Linked DNA regions of Elephas maximus indicus. The protein of the gene in region 3 purifies or fractionates together with the protein of the main gene of each other region. This does not show direct contact. Links are inferred from orthologs where the notes say so. Each region holds a gene or a part of one and is shown on either strand. Other genes may lie near its edges. The genes, in order: MAP1LC3A, GABARAPL1 and RETREG1.

The links.
Region 1: the proteins of RETREG1 (region 3) and MAP1LC3A purify together in Homo sapiens (affinity purification with western blotting; 3 studies listed by BioGRID and IntAct, with this or other methods). This does not show direct contact. The link is inferred for Elephas maximus indicus from reciprocal best matches to the Homo sapiens genes RETREG1 and MAP1LC3A.
Region 2: the proteins of RETREG1 (region 3) and GABARAPL1 purify together in Homo sapiens (affinity purification with western blotting; 3 studies listed by BioGRID and IntAct, with this or other methods). This does not show direct contact. The link is inferred for Elephas maximus indicus from reciprocal best matches to the Homo sapiens genes RETREG1 and GABARAPL1.

The regions. Positions count from the first base shown.
Region 1 is NC_064843.1:34,897,208-34,903,535, reverse strand, and holds MAP1LC3A (microtubule-associated proteins 1A/1B light chain 3A), read left to right. Parts: upstream 1-4,159; 5' UTR 4,160-4,322; coding exon 4,323-4,362; intron 4,363-4,660; coding exon 4,661-4,716; intron 4,717-4,803; coding exon 4,804-4,910; intron 4,911-5,211; coding exon 5,212-5,374; 3' UTR 5,375-5,381; intron 5,382-5,658; 3' UTR 5,659-5,825; downstream 5,826-6,328. UniProt on the Homo sapiens protein: Ubiquitin-like modifier involved in formation of autophagosomal vacuoles (autophagosomes). While LC3s are involved in elongation of the phagophore membrane, the GABARAP/GATE-16 subfamily is essential for a later stage in autophagosome maturation.
Region 2 is NC_064822.1:67,457,245-67,464,610, reverse strand, and holds the start of GABARAPL1 (gamma-aminobutyric acid receptor-associated protein-like 1), read right to left. Parts: upstream 3,062-7,366; 5' UTR 2,774-3,061; coding exon 2,684-2,773; intron 1-2,683. UniProt on the Homo sapiens protein: Ubiquitin-like modifier that increases cell-surface expression of kappa-type opioid receptor through facilitating anterograde intracellular trafficking of the receptor. Involved in formation of autophagosomal vacuoles.
Region 3 is NC_064820.1:20,173,192-20,180,121, forward strand, and holds the start of RETREG1 (reticulophagy regulator 1), read right to left. Parts: upstream 3,068-6,930; 5' UTR 2,978-3,067; coding exon 2,703-2,977; intron 1-2,702. UniProt on the Homo sapiens protein: Endoplasmic reticulum (ER)-anchored autophagy regulator which mediates ER delivery into lysosomes through sequestration into autophagosomes.

The DNA.
Region 1 (6,328 bases), on a different chromosome or scaffold from region 3:
GTCTCTTCTTGACAGCAGTGGGTTTTAGTTTGGGTCTTCTTGTCTGTAGATTCCCTTGGATTTTCTGGCTGTCAGTAACAGTTTTGCCCCTTTCTGTCCAGTCCTTAACAATTTTATTCTTCTTGTCTTGCTTTGGGTGGGCCCTCCATGCAATATTGAACAGAAACCCTTGGTTCCTGACTTTAAGCGGAATGCTCACTATTTCACCATGTAGTATGGTGTTTTACATTAAGTATAATGTTTGCCGCAGGTTTGGGATTTTTTATCTTGGTAGAACTCACGTGGAAAACCATCTAGACCAGTTGATTTTTTGGGAGATAGATTTTTAACTTTTTTTTTCCATTTTCCCAATGTTCTTAATAGGTATAAGGCTATGAAGTTTGTCTACTTCTTTTTGAGTTAGTTTTAGCAAATTATATGTTATTAGGAAATTGTCTATTTCATCCAAGTTTTAAATTTACTGGCATAAAGTTGTTTACAATATTCCAGTCATTTTTGTGATTCCTGTTCTATCTGTAGTTATGTCTCTTTTGCACACTAATGCTCATTTTATCGGTCTTTTCAAAAGCCCAACTTTGATTTGTTGATCCATTAATTTCTGCTCTTATTATCTTCCTTCCACTTTCTTTGGGTTTACACTGTTACTCCTTTTTAAATTTGATGCTCTGCTTAAATTTAATTTTATATTAAATTACCCATATACATAATAAGGCTAGACATCTCCTTCTAAGACTGCTGCCTTAGTTGCATGTCCTTCCAAGAGATTTTGATATCTGTCCTCATTTTTTATCAAATCTAAATGTTTTCTATTTCTACACGATTTCACCTTTGAGTACAGAGTTATTTGGAAGTATGTTTAAATTTCCACTTCCCCACTCTGTGGTCAGAGGATACGGTCTGCATGAAATTGATTATCTGGTATCTGCTGAGATTTTTCTGGCGGCCTAGTGGTTAGGTAATTCTTTGTAAATGTTTCACACGTGACTTAAAATAACTTGTTGGGTTCAGGGTTCAACTGAAGTTCAATGATCAGGATTATTGTGTTAAAAATCTTCTATATCCTTTCTTTTCTGGCTGCTTGGTCTATCAGTTACTGAGAGAGAAGTATTAAAATTTCCTAGTATGGAACATTTTGATCAAAGATTCTATAGAAGAATCCTGATCAAAATGGAGAAAATATAGAACAGAATTTCAAATTCTCATTGAATCCAAACTTTCCAAAGCTGTGGAGGCTGGATGAACCCCTGAAACTATTGCTCTGAGATAATCTTTAAATTTGAAACCAAAAATATCCCCTGAAGTCTTCTTAAAACCAAACAATAGTGTAGCTTAACTAGTAAAAAATGTCTGCCTTGAGCATTATGCTCTTTCAAGATCTATCTTTATGGGATCAAACTGACAACAGCAACTCAAAAGATTAGACAGGAACTTAGGGGAAGTGAGTTTATGTTAATCAGGGAAGAACAATTCGGAAAAGCAGGGTGAGAATGGTTGCACAACTTGAAGAATGTAAACAGTATCACTGAATTGTACCTGAAGAAGCTGTTGAATTGGTGTAAGTTTTGCTGTCTACATTCTCTACAACAAAATAATAAATTAAAAAAAATTTTTTAAAGATTTTAAAGCAATAAAAAAAATTCCTAGTATGATAGAGTATTTGGCAATTTCTCCTTATACTTCTGACATTTTATATATTTTGAGCCTATTGTACCTGGAACATACAAGTTCAGAATTGTTATATCTTCCTAGAGAATAGTGCCTTTCATCATTTTCTAGTGACCTGTTTTATCCCCAACAATGCCTTTTGCCTTAAAGTCTATTTTGTCTGATTTTGCTATACATACATACTTTGGTTAGTTTTTCTATAGTACATCTTTTCCCACCTTTTTTTATTTTTGATGCCTTTAGGTTTTAAGTGTCCCCTTAGGCTGGGTACTCTAGAGAAGCAAAACCAGGAAAGCATATAAATACACGCAGGGAGAGATTTATATCAAGGAAACAGCTCACGCAATTGTAGAGGCTGGAATGTCCCAAGTCTGTGGATCAGGATAGAGGCTTCTCTTGATTCACGGAACTGCAGGGGCTAATGAACCCAAGATCAGCAGGTCAGAGAGCAGGGCTCCTGCTCTCAGGCTGTGAAGATCGACAAATCCCAAGATCTGCAGACAGGCTAACAGCCCAAGTCCCAAGAGCCGGAGGTCAGACAAACAGGAGGAAGCCACAGGATCCAGAGTGAGCAAAAAGCCATAATGTCTTATATTCGGATGCAGGCCACACCCCCGAGGAAACTCCCTTTCAACTGATGGGCTACTCACAGCAGATTCCATCATGGGAGTGATCACATATAAACACTGAGAATCGTGGCCCAGCCAAGATGACACGCAATGTTAACCATCACGCCTTTACAGCACAGAGCTGGATTTTATCTTCCTTAGCCAATCTGATAACGTTTTTTAACAGGTGAACTTAAAACACATTTCCTACCTCTGGTTTTGTGCTGTTTACCATCCTTTTTACTTTACTTCCTTTTTCTCCTTTCTACCTTCTATTGTATTTTTAGCACCCTTTTTTACTACCCTTTTCTCTTTTCAGCACTGACAGTTATGCATTCCATTTCTATTCTTCTAATGGTCACTCTTAAAAGTTTAAAATACATATTTGACTTTCCGAAGCCAGACAACTGTCAATATCTTTATCCTCCTCTCAAACAAATCGGATTTCTTAAGAACACTTTAACTCTGATTACCCTCTCCTGCCTTACATGTTATTGTGTCCCATGCACCTTCTTTTTAATCCCCACAAATTAATCATTACTATTACTGTTCTAAAAGCAGTGGCTGAGCAATCAGCTGCTAACTGAAAGGTCAGCAGTTTGAACCCACCAGCTGCTCTGGGGGAGAGAGATGTGGTGGTCTGTTCCTGTACAGACTACAGGCTTGGGAACCCTATGAGGCAGTTCTACTCTGTCCTACAGGGTAGCTATGAGGCGGGATGGACTTGAGGGCAACGGGTTTGCTTTTTATTCCTGTTTTTGCTTTTTTATTACTGTTCTATATTAAGTGCCTGTTTAGACTTACCTAGCAGTTTACTACCTTATGTGCTCACCATTTTTTCATCTAATTTCTTCCCTCTGGGTTACTTGTTATTATTAAAGTATATCCTTCAAAAATTATTTAAGCAATCATCTGTGTAAACTATGCCTTTGTCTTAACATATCTTTCCTTCTCTCAGACTCTTAAATCATGGATTAACTTACTAGTTGACCATATTTTTCCCTCAGAAGTTGAAGATGTTATTACATTTTATTCTGGCTTTTATATTTGCTGCTGAGAAGTCAACCATCAGTCTTATTTTCCTGCCACAATCTTTCTATTCTCTCCTTCTGGAACTCTGATGATTAGACCTGTGAGTCCTTCTCACTTTATTATTCATGTCACTCACTCATTCATACTTTCCATCACCTTCTTTCTCTGGGTAAATGCTTCCGATCTATCCTCCACTTCAGTGATTTTCTCTGCTATTGTGTCCAATTTGTGTTCTTATCCCATCCACTGAGACTTGAATTTCAATGCCTCTATTTTTCAATTCTAGAAATTATTTTTAAAACCTGTCTGCTCCTTTTCCGTGTCTTCCTCTTTCCATACGTTGAAATTCTTCCCCTCTCCCACCTCCCCCCTTTTTTTCCTGTAACCAAAAGCTCCATGAAGGCGACTTTGGTTCACTGCTCTTATCTCCAGCATCTAGTACAGTCCTTGGAACTCCGCGCGCCCTGGGTGCGCGTTTGTCAAATGACTTAGCGAGAGTGGGACCAGGTGGATGCTGAGTTGCTGCCGGGCCCACGCTCTCCTACCGGCATGAGCCACACGGCCCAGGTTGGGTCCGCCCCCCGCTCCCTTTCACCCCATTCCCCGCAACGGTCTCGCCGGTTTTCAGCTTTCACCTCAGTCCGGAACTTGGCAAGAGGTGCCCGCGCAGACCATGACGTCAGGGGACTGTGACGCTCCCTGGGAACCCCCGCCCCTTCGCGTCGCCGGGCCGGGAATCCAGGCTCTCTGCGCCGTGACGTCACGGACTCGGGCGGGCGGGTTTTGCGTCGGCCCAATGGGAGCGGCGCGCCGGCCTCCCCTTTAAGGAATGTTGTGACCTGACGTCACCGGGGCGAGTTACCTCCCGGAGCCGCCGCGGCTGGGCTCAGCGCGAGCCCGGAGCCCTTGAACGCGAGGCGAGGAGCCCCCGGAGCCCCCGGAGCCCCCGAACCGCAGCCACATCCCTGCGCCGCGCACCCCGGAGCCCAGACCTGCGCGTCCCGCTGGGCCCGCGCGATGCCCTCGGACCGGCCTTTCAAGCAGCGGCGGAGCTTCGGTGAGGCCTGGCGGGCGGTCTGCGAGCGCGGGATGGGGGGCGTCGGACCCATTCCGACTGCCGCTGGTGACGTCAGCCCCATGACGTCAGACTCCGGCTGGCCCCGGGGCTGGGAGGCGGGCTCCGGCCGGGCCGGGGGCATCAACGCTCGGTCCTGTGCCGGGGACTGCGGGGCCGGACGGCCCGGGGGCGGGGGCTGGGGCGGGCGGGGCGGGGCTGCGGCCGCCCCTCGGGAGCAGGACGGGACCCGGAGAGCACCTCCGCCCGGCCTCACCGCCCCACCGACCGTCGTCCGCAGCCGACCGCTGTAAGGAGGTGCAGCAGATCCGCGACCAGCACCCCAGCAAGATCCCGGTGAGGCCCGCCGTCCCCTCCCCGTCCCCGCCCTGCCCCAGGCCCCGCCTTGGGCTCACGCACCCCCCCCCCCCGCCCCTCTCCCAGGTGATCATCGAGCGCTACAAGGGTGAGAAGCAGCTGCCGGTCCTGGATAAGACCAAGTTCCTGGTCCCGGACCATGTCAACATGAGCGAGCTGGTCAAGATCATCCGGTAAGCGGGCAGCCCGCCGCTGGAGAGGGACTTGGGTCCAGCTGGCGTCAGGCAGGCGACCGATGCCCTCCGGGAAGAGGCTATGGTGGGGCCAGGGCCTGGGACCGGTGCTGGGCATCTGTTCTGGGGCGGCCAGACAGTCAAAAGGGTCCGGGCTGGGGTCAGTGTGGAGACAGAGATGAGACCCTTTTGAAGGATCTGAGGTGGTTATGAAGCGAAGGTTGGGAGCCATCCTGGGGAGAGGGTTGGGGGCTAAGGGACCGGGCAGCTCACAGTCCGCATGCCCTCCCGCCCGCCTCAGGCGCCGCCTGCAGCTGAACCCCACGCAGGCCTTCTTCCTGCTGGTGAACCAGCACAGCATGGTGAGCGTGTCCACACCCATCGCAGACATCTACGAGCAGGAGAAAGACGACGACGGCTTCCTCTACATGGTCTACGCCTCCCAGGAAACCTTCGGCTTCTGAGCCAGCAGTAGGGGGGGTTGGCCTGGGAGTGGGGGGGGGGGGTGGGGAGCCAGTCAGGCTCTGCCCAGGGAGCCCCTGTCTCCTGAACCGAATTGCCTCTGCCCCTGGTGGGCTGGGCAGGGATGTGGCCCCGTAGCCAGGGGACATCAACCATGCCACCTGTGCCCCTGGGCAGATCCTGGGCCAGTCACTTTAGGGTTGCCCCTCTGGGTGTTGGCTGGGATGGGGGAGGGTGGGGAGCCGCCCCCTGCACCCCTGCTCTGTGTGGTTTGTCTTTTTTTTAGGCCCATGCCTCTCTGCCCATCTGCCCCTCACCCACCCGAGGCACTGCCCCGTTCGTGGACCTGCTCACCCCTAAGGACTGGTCCCTGGCTTCCCTGGTCTTGACATGGTGTATGGATCTGTGGTCATTGTTCCTCTGCAGAATTAAAGATTGCTCAGGCCTGCCTGGCCCTTTGCCTCCTGCTGCTTGCTTGTGGGGTGGGGAGGGTTGCTGATGAGACTGTGGGGAACCATTCTCAGCCTGCAGGGAACAGACTTTTGTTCTGTGGACTCAGGGCTCATTCTGGAAACCCATGCCAGTGTGTAGTAGTGTTGTTGGGTGCTTTTGAGTCAATTCTGACTTGTTGTGACCCCATGTGACAGAGTAAAACTGCCCCATAGGGTTTTCTTGGCTGTAATCTTTAGGGTCGCTATGAGTTGGAATCGACTCCATGGCACTGGGTTTGGTTTTGGTTTGGAATCTTTACAGAAACATACTACCAGGTCTTTCTTCTGCAGAACTGGGTGGGTTCAAACCGCCAACCCTTGGTATTGTGGCAGTATGAGGGGCCAAGCTACCCTCTCCAGGCATACACTGTGGTCCCAGGGTAGACATCTTCATAACAAAAACATTTATTAAGTAGCCACAACCCAACAAGTCCTGCCCACCTGCATCTTCCTCCTTTCTGCCTA
Region 2 (7,366 bases), on a different chromosome or scaffold from region 3:
CACACATTGTGTTCCTAGCAGTTTTCTGCTCTGTTGTAGGTTCTCAATACATTGTAACTATTAACATAATTTTAAGATCCCATTAATCCCTTCCTTCCCAAGGCACAAGCACACTTATTCTTTTAAATGGAAGGAACTCTGGTGGCACAGTGGTTAAGCTCTCGGTGCTAACTGAAAGGTTAGTGGTTCAAATCCCCTAGCTGCTCCATGGGAGAAAGACGTGGCAGTCTGCTTCCGTAAAAATTACAGCCTTGGAAGCCCTATGGGGCAGTTGTACTCTGTCCTACAGGGTCGCTATCAGTCAGAATCGAATTGATGGCAGTGGATTTGGTTCTTTTGGTATTAAGGGATATTGACTGGAGCTAAAATCAGGTTTTCTAAGCAATCAGGGTACAAGATTGCTTTAATAACACCAATGGTCCAACTGGAGAGAGCAGAGAAATCATTGACTCTACCCCTCTTTTCCATAAAGGAAGACACTTTATCACAGCGAGCTTAGGGATTCTGCCCAAGGGCACAGGGAAATCCTTGTGAAGCCATAAGTAGAAACAAAATTACAGAACTAAGACCACATAGCTCTTCTCCCTGCATAACCATTAAAGAGGGTCACAGGCAGAGAAGCTAGTAAGCAGTTCAGAGGCTTGTTACTGGTTAAAACATAACTGTAGGAGCCATGAGATCTGAGTAATGGCTAATAAATTAACATAGAAATAAAACATTCAACACCAAACTACGGCAGGAAAAGAACAGAGGGAATTAGCTGAAACATTCTGGATGGATGCATGTAAATAACTGAAATAGGGAGGACTCGGTTTGAGGGAAACATATGGAAATTTTAACTAGATTTAGGAACAGGTAAATTTCAGTTTGTCATTTATGTGAAGCTACTGTTGTACACAGGGGTCACTATGAGTGGGAATCGACTCGACGGCACCTAACAACAACTGGCACAGTTCCTTGTACTTTGCAAGTCCTGAATAAATTGTAGTCATTTTGCTTACTGAGTTACTTTTCCGGTGAACTGTTGAGGGCAGCAATAGTTTATCTATTTCCAATACCTAACAGTGAGAGGCACTTAATTAGTTCTGGTAACAGAGCTACATTAGAAATTGAGCAGCAATGTGGCATGGAGGTTAGGCATGCCCATAGCGCTATGCATGAGAGGTGAAGCTGAAATCTCAGCTTGGTCACAGACCACCAATATGACGTTACTTCATGTCTCTGTGCTTCAGATTCTTCATCTATAGACTGGGGATTATAATAGCGTGAGGGTTAATGGGATGCCTATATAGAGGACACTTATAATAGCACCAGATACAGGGTAAGTTACTGGTAAATATTAGCTCTCATTTTTAAATACTATTACTGAAAACTGGGATTGGTGCCACGAGAATTGGGGGACGATTTTAAAACAATCATCCAAGGTCCAGAGACCACGAAAATAAACTGTGAAGAATTCTTTACTGGGTAATAAGGCTGGCTCCCCTTTCCAGCTAAAAAACCCTTTTGTGTGTAATTGCTGGGGAATAGGATGGCTCTGATGTCTCCTCTTTATAGGAAAGGACCACGAGGGCTTTGTACTGCTGGGCTAAGCCCCAAGTTGCCTCTGGTAGCTGTTTAGAGGAGGCCCAGGAACACCTGCAGGTCAAGAAAGGACATCAGATAATTGCAATGTCTTTACCCGTTACATTTACAATTCCTTTACCAGTTACATCATCCAAATGCCCATATCTGAAGATAAAGAGCACAACCCTACGGTCACTGCTCTTCTATCTCTAACACCCCAAAACTGCTGCTCCCTCTACCACAGGCTTCTGTCTTTCATTCTGGCTGCGCAGCCTACATTAGAGGGAAACCAGGCAAGTGCGCGGGGGAGGGGACAAACTGGAAAAACGCCCGGATGCTGAAAGATGCCTTGCTATTTATTTCATCTTTTCCTTCTGCACTAGTTTTAACTACATAAATCAGGGGCTAAAACAGAAAGAGGTCTCAGTCTGTCTCGTGCCCAGGTATGATTTGATCAGATTAAGCACCCAGGAAAGCTGGCCGTCACTACACACTGCCCCTGGAGCCAAGAATGATGAAGCAAGCCGGTTGCTGCGCAGAGAACGTGACCTTGTTTTTGAGCCAGACCTGTCTTGTGGTGCCCCCCACCCCCTACCCCAATCTTAACAGAATACGAGAATGAATCCACTGGCTTCCCATCTTTTCCCTCCCAAGCCCAAGGATAACCAGGTCAGAGTGAAATTGATGAAAGGAGAACCACCTATAGCAGAAATCGACAGGCGCAAACCCCAGGGCATCAGTCGCTCCCATAGTAATTTCCGTGCGTTCTTAAACGAAGCAAACCTAGAGCCCCAAACTAATGACTCTCGCACAAAAAGGCCACATCTTCTGAAAACTGCTGAGTCACTCGAGACATTGGCTTCGCTCTAAAGATGCGGTCAGCTATGAAGATGGGAACAGGCCCTCGGGATACGGGTTTGGAAAGCTCCGCAGTCTGAAAAGTCCACTAGCTCCGGCAGCTAGCGAAGGACATCCGGGGTCAAGGAATTTTTAGAGACCTCCCTTTTTCGGAGACCCTTCTGTTCCTTAGGGCAGCCATCGCGACTCCCCAACCCCCAGCTCTCCAACCCTCCCCCCACTTTCTCCCCTACCCTCCACCCGTTCCCATTACACTTACAGGGACCCTGTCCGGATATTTCTTCCGGATCTTTTCTCCTTCCTTTTTCCGATATTCAAAGGGATGGTCCTCTTTATACTGGAACTTCATGATGGACCGCAGGGTTTCTAAAATCCCCAGACGGGGCCTGCCTTCCTCGCTGATGATTGCGTCTCTCGCGTATTGCTCCTCTCCGTCAAATTTCAATAGGTTTCAGGATCGCTTCAGAAGTGCCAGCTCCCGCCACAACACTATTGGCAGAGCGTTCGGAAGGGATCTCTGGTCGCCTCGCCTGGCAGTAGAAGATGGCCAGGTAAAGAGATCCAGACGGCTTTTCCCAGGAGCTGGGGACACAAAAACAACACAGCAGCGCGTTGGTATTGTGACGCCACAAACCCCGCCCCGTGTCCCGCCCCCAGCGTTCGGAACAGCGCAGGATGGGGGTAGACAAGTACGTTGTCTGTTTCATTGTATCTTCTTTCTAGCTAAACCTTTCCTAAGTAGATCCCACTGCAACCATGACGTATTTACGTGTTATTTGAATGTTCATGTGACATTAACTATCGTTCTAAAACGAAATAAAATTGTTCTGAAAATGTCTTCTTCCCTCCCTGCTGTTTCTTGGTTGAGTCCAAAAATAAATACAAAGAACTAAAATCCAGCTTTTTCCAGCTTATTGGGATCCGGGATCTGGAGAAAAAAAGGAATGGGGGACCTAGGGTCTGTTTTTGGCCAGTGCAGAAATGTCCTGTGCTTGCATTTTGCCCTTTGCCTATTTAATTGCACCCACTGGGCACCTCCCACCAGGCACTCTCCTTCCCCACGCTCGCGTCAGTTTTGTTTGGATCCATGCCACAGTTTGCTCCTAGCACAGCAACATAAACAGAGCATGACTCAGGAATTTGAAGAGACCTGTAATATGAAGGGCACGGAGGGTAATCAGGGTCCAGAGAAGAGGTGATGTCAGTGATGACTGCTAAGGGCTTCAGGCGCGTTCACAGATAGGGATCACTGGCTTTCTCCTACTGACCCAGAAGTTGGGCCTGTCTTCTGGAAAACAATTCACCTGAATATGGAAGTGTTCTTGTGTGCCATCCAGTGGATTCCAACTCATAGCGACCCTGTGGGAAAAGTGGAACTGCCGCATAGGGTTTCCTAGCCTGTAATCTTTAAAGAATCAAAGTAAACAGAAATCCTTGACAACTTCAATATTTTCCCTGTTTATCCTGAATAATATTTATTGATCCAGTTGTGAGGATTTTTGTTTTCTTTATGTTGAGTTGTAATCCATACTGAAGGCTGTAGACTTTGACCTTCATCAATAAGTGCTTCAAGTCCTCTTCGCTTTCAGCAAGCAAGGTTGTGTCATCTGTATATCAAAGATTGTTAATGAGCCTTCCTCCAATCCTGATGCTGCATTCTTCTTTATATAGTCCAACATCTTAGATTATTTGCTCAGCATACAGATTGTGAAAGGATACAACCCAGACACACACCTTTCCTGATTTTAAACCACGCATTATTCTCTTGTTCCAACTGCTTCGTGGTCTATGTACAGGTTCTGCATGAGCACAATTTAGTGTTCCAGAATTCCTATTCTTCACAATGCTATTCATAATCTGCTATGATCTACACAGTTGAATGCCTTTGCTTAGTCAATAAAACACAGGTAAACATCCTTCTGGTGTTGTGTGCTTTCAGCCGAGATCCATCTAATGTCCCTCATTCCACGTTCTCATCTGAATCCAGCTTGAATTTCTGGCAGTTCCCTGGTGCAACATCTTTGAATAATCTTTTGCAAAATTTTACTTGCATATGATATTAATGATATTGTTCTATAAGTTCTGCATTCTGTTGAATCACCGTTCTTTGGAACTGCAAAATATAGATCTCTTCTAGTCAGTTGGCATAGACAAGTGAGCACTTCAGTGTTGCATTCACTTGTTGAAACATCTCAATTGGTATTCCATCATTTCCTGGAGTCTTCCTTGTTTTAAGGCAAAGCCTTCAGTGCAGCTTGGACTTCTTCCTTCAGTACCCTCAGTTCTTGGTCATACGATACTTCCTGGAAAGGTTGAACATCAATCGATTCTTTTTGGTGCAGTGACTCTGTATATTTCTTTCATCTCCTTTTGATGCTTCCTTCGATGTTCAACAGAGCCCTGGCGGTGCACTGGTTATGCATTAGGCTGCTAACCAAAAGGTCAGTAGTTTGAAGCCACCAGCCATTCCTTGGAAGCCCTATCGGGCAGTTCTGCTCTGCCTGATAGGGTCGCTGTGAATTGGAATTGACTCGACGCAATGGGTTTGATGTTCAACGCTTTGCCCATAGAATCCTTCAATATTGCAACATGAGGCTTGGGTTTTTTCTTCACTCCTTTCAGCTTGAGAAATGCTGAGTGTGTTTGCATTGGGAAAACCTGCTGCAAAAGACCTCTTTCAAGTGTTAAAAAGCAAAAATGTCACTTTGAGGACTAAGGTGTACCTGACCCCAAGCCATGGTATTTTCAGTTGCCTCGTATGTATATGGAAGCTGTACAATGAATAAGGAAGACCAAAGAATTGATGCATTTGAATTATGGTGCTGGTGAAGAATTCTGAATATACCATGGACTGCCAGAAGAATGAAAAATCTGTCTTGGAAGAAGTACAGCCAGAGTGCTCCTTAGAAGCAAGGATGGCGAGACTCTGTTCCACATATTTTGGACGTATTATCAGGATTACCAGACCCTGGAGAAGGACATCATGCTCGGTGAAGTAGAGGGTCAGTGAAAAAGAGGAAGACCCTTAACGAGATGGACTGACACAGTGGCTGCAACAATGGGCTCCAACATAGCAATGATTGTAAGGAGGATGCAGGACCAGGTAGTGTTTCGTTCTGTTACGCAGAAGTTCGCTATGAGTCAGAACCGACTGGATGGCACCTAACAACACGAAAACAATCTTTAAGGGAGCAGATTGCCAAGTCTTTTCAGCTGTGGAAATTGCAGGCCTTTTGGTTAGCAGCCAAGTATTTAGCCATTGGCAACCAGGGCTCCTTGAAGATGAAGTACTATAAAATTCCTTACATGAATAGAAAGCACCAGTAGGAAGCACAGTGGAAGACTCTGGGTGGTGGGGCTGGTGCCTCCTTCTGGTGTTCCTCTTTCGCCACTGAGAATCAAAGGACCATTAGGGGAAGGGCAGTGGAAATTGTAAACATTATAGACTAGTAACGAAGGTCTGTTTTGCCCTTAATGAGTTCAGAAAAATATTAGATGACAGCAGCCCCCATCTCCTGTCTCCTTTTATGAGGGTTTCAATGCCTCTGATTTTAAAAACAAGCCCACAAAATAAATGAAACTAAGGTTCATTATTCAAACAAGGAAAATGATTGCATAGTTCCATTTCTAAAGTTTAATTATTTTTCTCCATAGCGTCTTTCAATCCATTTTATATATGAAAATTCGTAAGTGGTTTATCACATTATATGCTTATAATTTTCAGTCCTTATTTTCAAATTGAAAATAGTTTAATTAGTCCCTAGTCTCTTGTTTGGAAACCCTGGTGGCATAGTAGTTATGTGCTACAGCTGCCAACCAAAAGGTCAGCAGTTCGAATCCACCAATTGCTCCTTGGAAACTCTATAGGGCAGTTCTACTCTGTTCTATAGGGTCACTATGAGTTTGGTTTTTGGTTTAGTCACTTGTTTTAGCTATGATCCAAACACAGCTAAATCTTTCAAAAGAGTACTTTACAACCAGTTGAGAAAGGAAATTATGGTAGTGATTGAAATTTTAAGATTGTTGTTTTCTGATCAAATCTACTGAAAACAATCTTATCTAATTAGGCTGCTGTTTTTAAACTTTAAAAATACCTAAGGACAGTGGCAATTTACATGTGAAAAAGAACCTGGAGATGAAATTTCCATTAATCTTCCTGCAACAAAGCTTTTCTAAATGTTCGTAGGTTGTCTTAATTTCCAAAGTTTGTTCTCTACCTTTATTGTCAGCATGGCATTTTTAAACATGTATAACAAACATTTCAAATAATAGTATGATAAACAACCATATACTCACTCACCACCTTGATTTTTCTTTTCCTGGACCACTTGAAAGTAAATCACAAATATTGTGATATTTCACTCCAAAATACTCAGCATATTTTTCCTAAGATAAAAACATGCTCCCACATAATCACAATCTTCACTATTGCAACTCAAGGCTTGAATTTTTTCCTCAGTTCTTTCTGCTTGAGAAACGCCGCGTTGCAATAGTGAAAAGCCTCGAGTTGCAATAGTGAAGGATTCCATGGGGAAAATATTAAATGACTCAGGAAGCATCAAAAGAAGATGGAAGGAATACACAGAGTCATTACACCAAAATGAATTAGTCGATGTTCAACCATTTCAAGAGGTGGCATATGATCCGGAACCGATGGTACTGAAGGAAGAAGTCCAAGCTGCTCTGAAGGCATTGGCGAAAAACAAGGCTCCAGGAATTGATGGAATATCAATTGAGATGTTTCAACAAACAGATGCAGCACCGGAGGTGCTCACTTCTCTGTGCCAAGAAATATGGAAGACAGCTTCCTGGCCAACTGACTGGAAGAGATCCATATTTATGCCTATTCCCAAGAAAGGTGATCCAACCGAATTTGGAAATTATAGAACAATATCATTAATATCACACACAAGCAAAATTTTGCTGAAGATCATTCAAAAAT
Region 3 (6,930 bases):
GGAACAACCTTAGTCCATCAGTAGTGGGCAGGTTAAACTTTCAGAATTCTATGCTTCTGAAAAAGAACGAGGAAGTGATCGGCAAGATATACTGAGAAGAGTAATGTCCATATACCCATTGCCATCCAATTGATTCCAACTCACAGGGGCCTTGGAGGACAGGGGAGAACTGCCTAATAAGGTTTCCAAGGCTGGAAGCTTTACGGAAGCAGACTGCCACATCTTTATGCTGTGGAGTGGCTGGGGGGTTCAAATCGATGACCCTTCAGTTAGCAGCCAAGCGCTTAACCACTGCACCACAAGGGTTCCTTATCACCCACACAGTATTCCACAATTTGCCTAGAATACTAAAAACTGGTAACACTGATTGTCACTGGGCAAAAACTAGGTGGCCAGGGACAGGCTTGAGAAAGCGAGTTTTAGAGTATTTACCCTGCGCACCTTTCCAGGTGGTGATGCAGCTAAGGGCTTGGCTGTTAACCAAAAGGTGGGCAGTTCAAATCCACCAGCTGCTCCTTGGAAACTCTATGGGACAGTTTTACGCTGTCCTTTACGGTCACTATGAGTTGGAATTCACTCGAGGGCAATGGGTTTTACCTTTTTGTACCTTTAAACTTTTGAACCCTGAGAATGTATTAGCTATTCTTAAAAATAAAATTTTAAATAATAACCAAAAAAAGCTTTAGAAACATGTCCCCCATTGGTAAGATACATGAGATAATAAGATCTGAGCCTCTTCACAACCCTAACAGTATTTGGCCTGTTGCCCAATCGAGAATACTACAATATATTCTCCATTTGAGTGTTTGTGTAACTTCATAACAGGCTGGAGTTTGGGTTTTTTTTTTTTTTATTGTGCTTTAAGTTTACAAATCAAGTTAGTCTCTCATACAAAAATTTATATACACCTTGCTATATACTCCTAGTTGCTCTCCCCCCTAATGAGACAGCACACCCCTTCCCTCCACTCTCTCTTTTCGTGTCTATTCAGCCAGCTTCTGATCGCCTCTGCCCTCTCATCTCCCTCCAGATAGGAGATGCCAACAGAGTCTCATGCGTCTACTTGATCCAAGAAGCTTACTCTTCACCACTATCATTTTCTATCCCATTGTCCAGTCTAATCCCTGTCTGAAGAGTTTGCTTTGGGAATGGTTCCTGCCCTGGGCTAATAGAAGATCTGGGGACCATGACCTCTGGGGTCCTTCTAGTCTCAGTTGGACCATTAAGTCTGGTCTTTTTATGAGAATTTGGTGTCTCCATCCCACTGCTCTCCTGCTCCCTCAGGGGTTCTCTTTTGTGTTCCCTGTCAGGGCAGTCATTGGTTGTAGCCAGGCACCATCTAGCTCTTCTGGTCTCAGGCTGATGTAGTCTCTGGTTTCTGTGGCCCTTTCTGTCTCTTGGGCTCATAATTACCTTTTGTCTTTGGTGTTCTTCATTCCCCTTTGCTCCAGGTGGGTTGAGGCCAGTTGATGTATCTTAGATGGCCGCTTGCTAGCATTTAAGACCCCAGACATCTCTCTCGAAAGTGGGATGCAGAATGTTTTCTTAATAGATTTTATTATCAGGCTGGAGATTTTTGAAATAAACTCTACCTTAGCTGTTACAGAGAGCTAAGAGATACAGCTAAGATGCCCAAGGTAAAGTTAATTCACACTCAGGGACCCGGATAAGACAGACATAGGTCATGTGAGGAGAAAAACAGGACTAGGGCAGAAGCTGCAGAAAAATCTTCACATTTCTCACGTTAACCTAGAAAATTGAGGGTGGAGTAAACTGTGTATATTCCCAAACTTTAAGGTGAAGAAATCTAGGTCCTGTAACAAGATACGTGTTTCTGAAACTCGGCTTATCCTGCACACTGGGGGTCATGTTTGTTCTGTAGGCACATTAGACAGAGGCTTCCCCCGGACCCCACCCTCATTCAGGTCGGGAGCCTTGACAGGATAAGTCCTTCAGTAAAGGGGCCAGACACTTCCCTACCTCCTTAACAGCGAAAAGCACTTTTTAGAGAGACAGACCTGTTGATTGTGGGCTTTTAAGAAAGCATTCCTGTGTGTTCTCTCTGTCCATCACCTAAAAATATGTCTGTTTTCCACACTGTGCACACCTGGAGGGAGGGATGCTGTACATAATCCACCTGTCTACCGACTGTTTTCTGGTCAGGGAGTAAAGACGGTAAACCCAACACTCCAGGGAAAGGAAAAACAAGCCATTCAAGGCCCATCTCAGGGGGCTCAGGAAGGCGGCGCAGCCTTGAACGTGTATCTAGGATGGTCCAGATTCGCCTGCTCGGGGTGCAGAATGAATACAAGCTCAAGCACGTTGGCTCAGGCATGCTTGGGCGAGCAGGTCAAGACCTGCGAGTTATAGAAAGGAAAAGCCGAAGTTTTCCAGCACGCCGGGCACACCTGTAGGGACAGGTGCGTGCAGGTTAGCTGACCACCTCCAGTCTCAGGCTGGATACACCCACGAGGTTGACTACTGTTTACAGGCGAGTGTGTCTGGAGGCAAGGTGAAGTGTCTACCTGTCCGAGGCAGGTGGCCCGGAAAGTGGGGCCGGGCTACGCTCTTTCTTCTGCAGTGCCCAGCGTGCGCCCCGCCAGCCCCCGCCCCGGCCTCTGGGCGCGCCCTCCGCCCGCCCGCCCCGGGGCGCCCCAAGGTCACCTGCCCTCCCCAGCGCCCCCACCCACCCGGGCTCTCACCAAAACAGCAGGTTGGCGCCGACGAAGGCGAGCAGGCTGCGCAGCGGCCTCTCCCAGCTCAGCAGCTCGTCGGCGCGGCAGCCCAGCCACAGCACCGGTTCCCCGAGCAGCCAGGTCTCGGCGGCGGCCGCCCGGCCCGCGGCCTCCTCCACCTGCCGCTCGGCGCCGGCCGCCGCGAGCTGCTCGTGGGCTCCCTCCTCCTCCTGCGCCTCCTCGCGGGGAGCTCGGGCCGGGCATCCCTCCTCCGCGGGCTCCGAGGGCGCCGGGCTCGCCATCTTCCGCGGCGCGGCGAGGACGCGGACGCGCGGCGCGCCTGGGTGTCGGCGGGTCCGGGCGCGGGGCGCGCAGCGCGGGGCGCCGGTGGTTGGGTGCCTTGTGACGTCAGCCCGGGCCGCGGCGGGGGCGCCGCCCGGGGAAGTGGGTGCGGCCAAGTTTACGCGGGGGCGGGGCCGGGCGGCATCCCCGCGCGGTGGGTGCGCAGCTGCGCTCTCTCCGGGGCGCTCGGACCTGGCACTGGCTTCGCCAGGGACCACAGAAAATGAACGCTACCCCCTTTTTGTTTCCGACTGGGGGAGTGGGTCTGAAGTAGAGGTGACGCCGCTGCAGGTTACTTATCTAAAATGAAGTCAAGGCTACAAGCAAAATAAATTGGACACCTCCACTGTCTCAAGCCAGGGCTACCGCCCGCCGGTCCTGGAGCCTGTGACAGCGGATTTCAGCCCCATCGAGTCCCCTCACCTTCCCCCAGCCCAGTGCCCTCACAGGGCACAGCCTGCACAAACCATAGGCATTGAGGTCTTTGGCATCCTGGAAGTACCATGAGGATATAAATGTTGGACTGAGAAAGCAGGGAAAAAAAAAATTGGAGTCAATTACGGAGAGCCTGATCCTCTCGTTTACAAGTGAGGAAATGCAAGGCCGCGGCGCTGGAGGAAGGCCCTTTCCCTCTGTGACTCTGGGTTTCTTGTGGGTAAAGTGACTTGGCTCAAAGGCACAGGTGAGTGGGGTTGCACTCAGTAAGGGACATCCCTGCCACCAATAAAAAGGGTGAGGGTGTGCTGTTGCTCTTCTCACATCCATTCTTTGTTCTGCGTTTTGGTTTCACAGTTTTCTTTACAAAGGTACTTTGATATTTAAATGTCATTTTACCTTTATAAAAGTATATAGTGTTCTTGCCCAGTGCCCCCCAAAGACACACCCTTTCCCAATTTTAAGGAGAGTACACTCCATAATAAAGAAGCTGACTCGATTTTTGCTGTCAGAGTACTCACCATCATCATCATCATCTACAGGCATTTATAGACAGGCCATTCTGTCACTGCAAAAGTAGTAGCAATTATTGAAAGCTTCCTTGGAAGTGCTGGCACTGGGAAAATTCAGGGCACTTTCACAGTTTCTATGTAGCAGAGCGAAGAACAGAGTCGAAGTTATATAAACCAGATTTGGCAAGCCCAGATTGCAGTTCTTTCAAAGTCACTGAGGTCTCCTGTCACAAGCAGGCACCAGGGTGGAGGAGAGGAGGCAGTGAGCAGATGACAGGGTCTCCTGGGACCTCACAATGCTGAGCCTCTTTGGCCCTGGGGCTTCTGGCTGAACAGTTGTGGGAGATGGGGAGTGATTGTATATGCTCGCTTTTCACTATTTGTGTTTTATAAATGTTTCTATTGTTTAATCTCCCAGTTCTTGCTTCTAGGATAAAACATTATCCCTCTCCCCCACCTGTACACACCCATCCCTAGAGCTCTGCATGCAATAAAGCAGGGCTTTCATATCTGAGTCGACCACTAGAACCAGCCAGCTTTCACAGGCTGCCTGGGGCTCCTTCCCAGAGCGCTCAAAGCCCTCTGCCTCAAGGGATTGTCTGGAGAAACATTCCTTCTGCTGATCTGAGTGGTCCTTGCTTATGTTTATACATGCATGTTGTTGTTCTTGTTAGGTGCTGTGGAGTTGGTTCCCAACCCTATGCACAATGCAAGGAAACACTGACCAGTCCTGCACCACTCTCAGAATTGTTGCTATGCTCGAGCCGATTGTTGCAGCCACTGTGTCAATCCATCTCATTGAGGGTCTTCCTCTTTATCTGCTGACCCTCTGCTTTGCTAAGCAGGATATCCTTCTCCAGGGACTGATCCCTCCTGATGATATGCCAAAGTATGTGAGATGTAGTCTTGCCATCCTTGCTTCTAAGGAGCATTCTGGTTGTACTTCTTCCAAGACAGATTTGTTTGTTCTTTTGGCAGTCCGTGGTATATTCAATATTCTTTGCCAACACCACGATTCAAAGGCATCAATTCTGTCAATTCTTCGGGCTTCCTTATTCATTGTCCAGCTTTCACATGCACATAAGGCGATTGAAACGCCATGGCCTGGGTCAGGCACATCTTATTCCTCAAGGTGACATCTTTGCTTTTTAATACTTTAAAGAGATCTCTCGCAGCCCATTTGCTCAATGCAATGTGCCTTTTGATTTCTTGACTGCTGCTTCCGTGGGAGTTAATTGTGAATCCAAGCAAAATGAAATCCTTGACAACCTCAGTCTTTTCTCTGTTCATCATAATATTGCTTATTGGTCCAGTTGAAAGGGTTTTTGTTTTCTTTATGTTGAGGTGTAATCCATACTGAAGGCTGTGGTCTTTGATCTTCATCAGTAAGCGCTTCAAGTCCTCTTCACTTTCAGCAAGGAAGATTGTGTCATCTGTGTGTTGCAGGTTGTTAATGAGTCTTCCTCCAATCCTGATGCCCCATTCTTCTTCATTTAGTCCAGCTTCTCGGATTATATGCTCAGCATACAGAATGAATAGGTATGGTGAAAGGATACAACCCTGATGCACACCTTTCCTGACTTTAAACCACACCGTACCCCCTTGTTCTGTTCATTACACGTGCATACACATATGTAAAAATCTATCCATTTGTGCTTTGCAGATGTGTGTACTTTTCTGTATGTATATTATATCTGAAAGAGGTATATTCCCAAAGGCCATGCACAGGTTTAGTGAGTACCTACTACATGCCCAGTGCTCCTCCACGAACTGTGGATACTGCTTCCACCCACAGGAAGTTCAGTCCAACAAGGAGCCAATTACAAGCGTGGTCAATGCGGTGACAGAAATAAAGACTAAGTGCTAAGAGACTCTTTGCTTAAGTTGAGCATCCAAAATTAAGGAGGGTGTGGAGGAGTCAGATTTCAGGAGGCTCTTTGGAATAGTTGATATCTGACCTAAATTGTAGGAGCCCCTGGGTGGTGCAAATGGTAACGCGCTTGGCTTCTAACCAAATGGTTGGAAGTTGGAGTCCACTCAGAGGTACCTTGGAAGAAAGGCTTGGCGATCCACTTCTGAAAAGCCATCCATTGAAAACTGTGTGGAGCACAGCTCTACTCTGACACATGTCGGGTCACCATGAGTCGGAACTGACTCCACGGCAGCTGGTTGGGTGCTACATTGTAAGAAAGGAGAATGAAGAGGGGGTGGGACAGGCACTGGTTTCTGATGGGAGATTAACACGAGGAAGGTATGGAGTTGCAGGTGGAGGTGCTGATTCAAGAAGCAGGGTTGGTTGTGTATATTCGCAGTGGAATGAAGTGAAAGATCCACCAGTGTCAGAAGTGGTTTTTAACCTGAAGGCCATGTGGAGCCCTTGGTGTCTTTTCAGAGGACCTCTGCCACCCAGTGGAATGTGGCCTGAGAGGCGGTGAAATAGCACTGTGGAAACAATGCAGGATTTTCCCCACAAAAGACAAACTTGTCTTTTCAGAGGTGTTGAGCTTCTCCCTTGGCCCTGGAGAATCAGCTTTTGAAAGATAAATGATGCTTTATTGTGTAATGTGGACTTCGTTTAGCATTTGATACAGCCCAGGGCTTGCCTCATTCTTAGACCTTTGGCTGCTCCTCTGGGAACCAGGCTTCCCCATTGCCCTCACCAGTGTTGAAGTGCTCCCAGAAAACATGATTCTTCACATTCCTCCTTCTCCCCCTGAATTCTAATTATTGGTGTCAGGATCTGTGAAAACAGCAAAAGCTGTTGAGGACCAAGATATGTGAAAGCTAAGCTCCAGTTGCTCGGTGTGGTTTGCAACACTTACTATCTTTGCTTAATGATAAACCTCCCTACTGGCAGCCCTCCTGTTTTTAAATACTACTCACAGGCAGAACTGTTTTGCATAAAGGGCTGGACTAATTGCGCTCATCTGTCTTTTGCACCTCTGGCCTCTAATAATGACTGACAA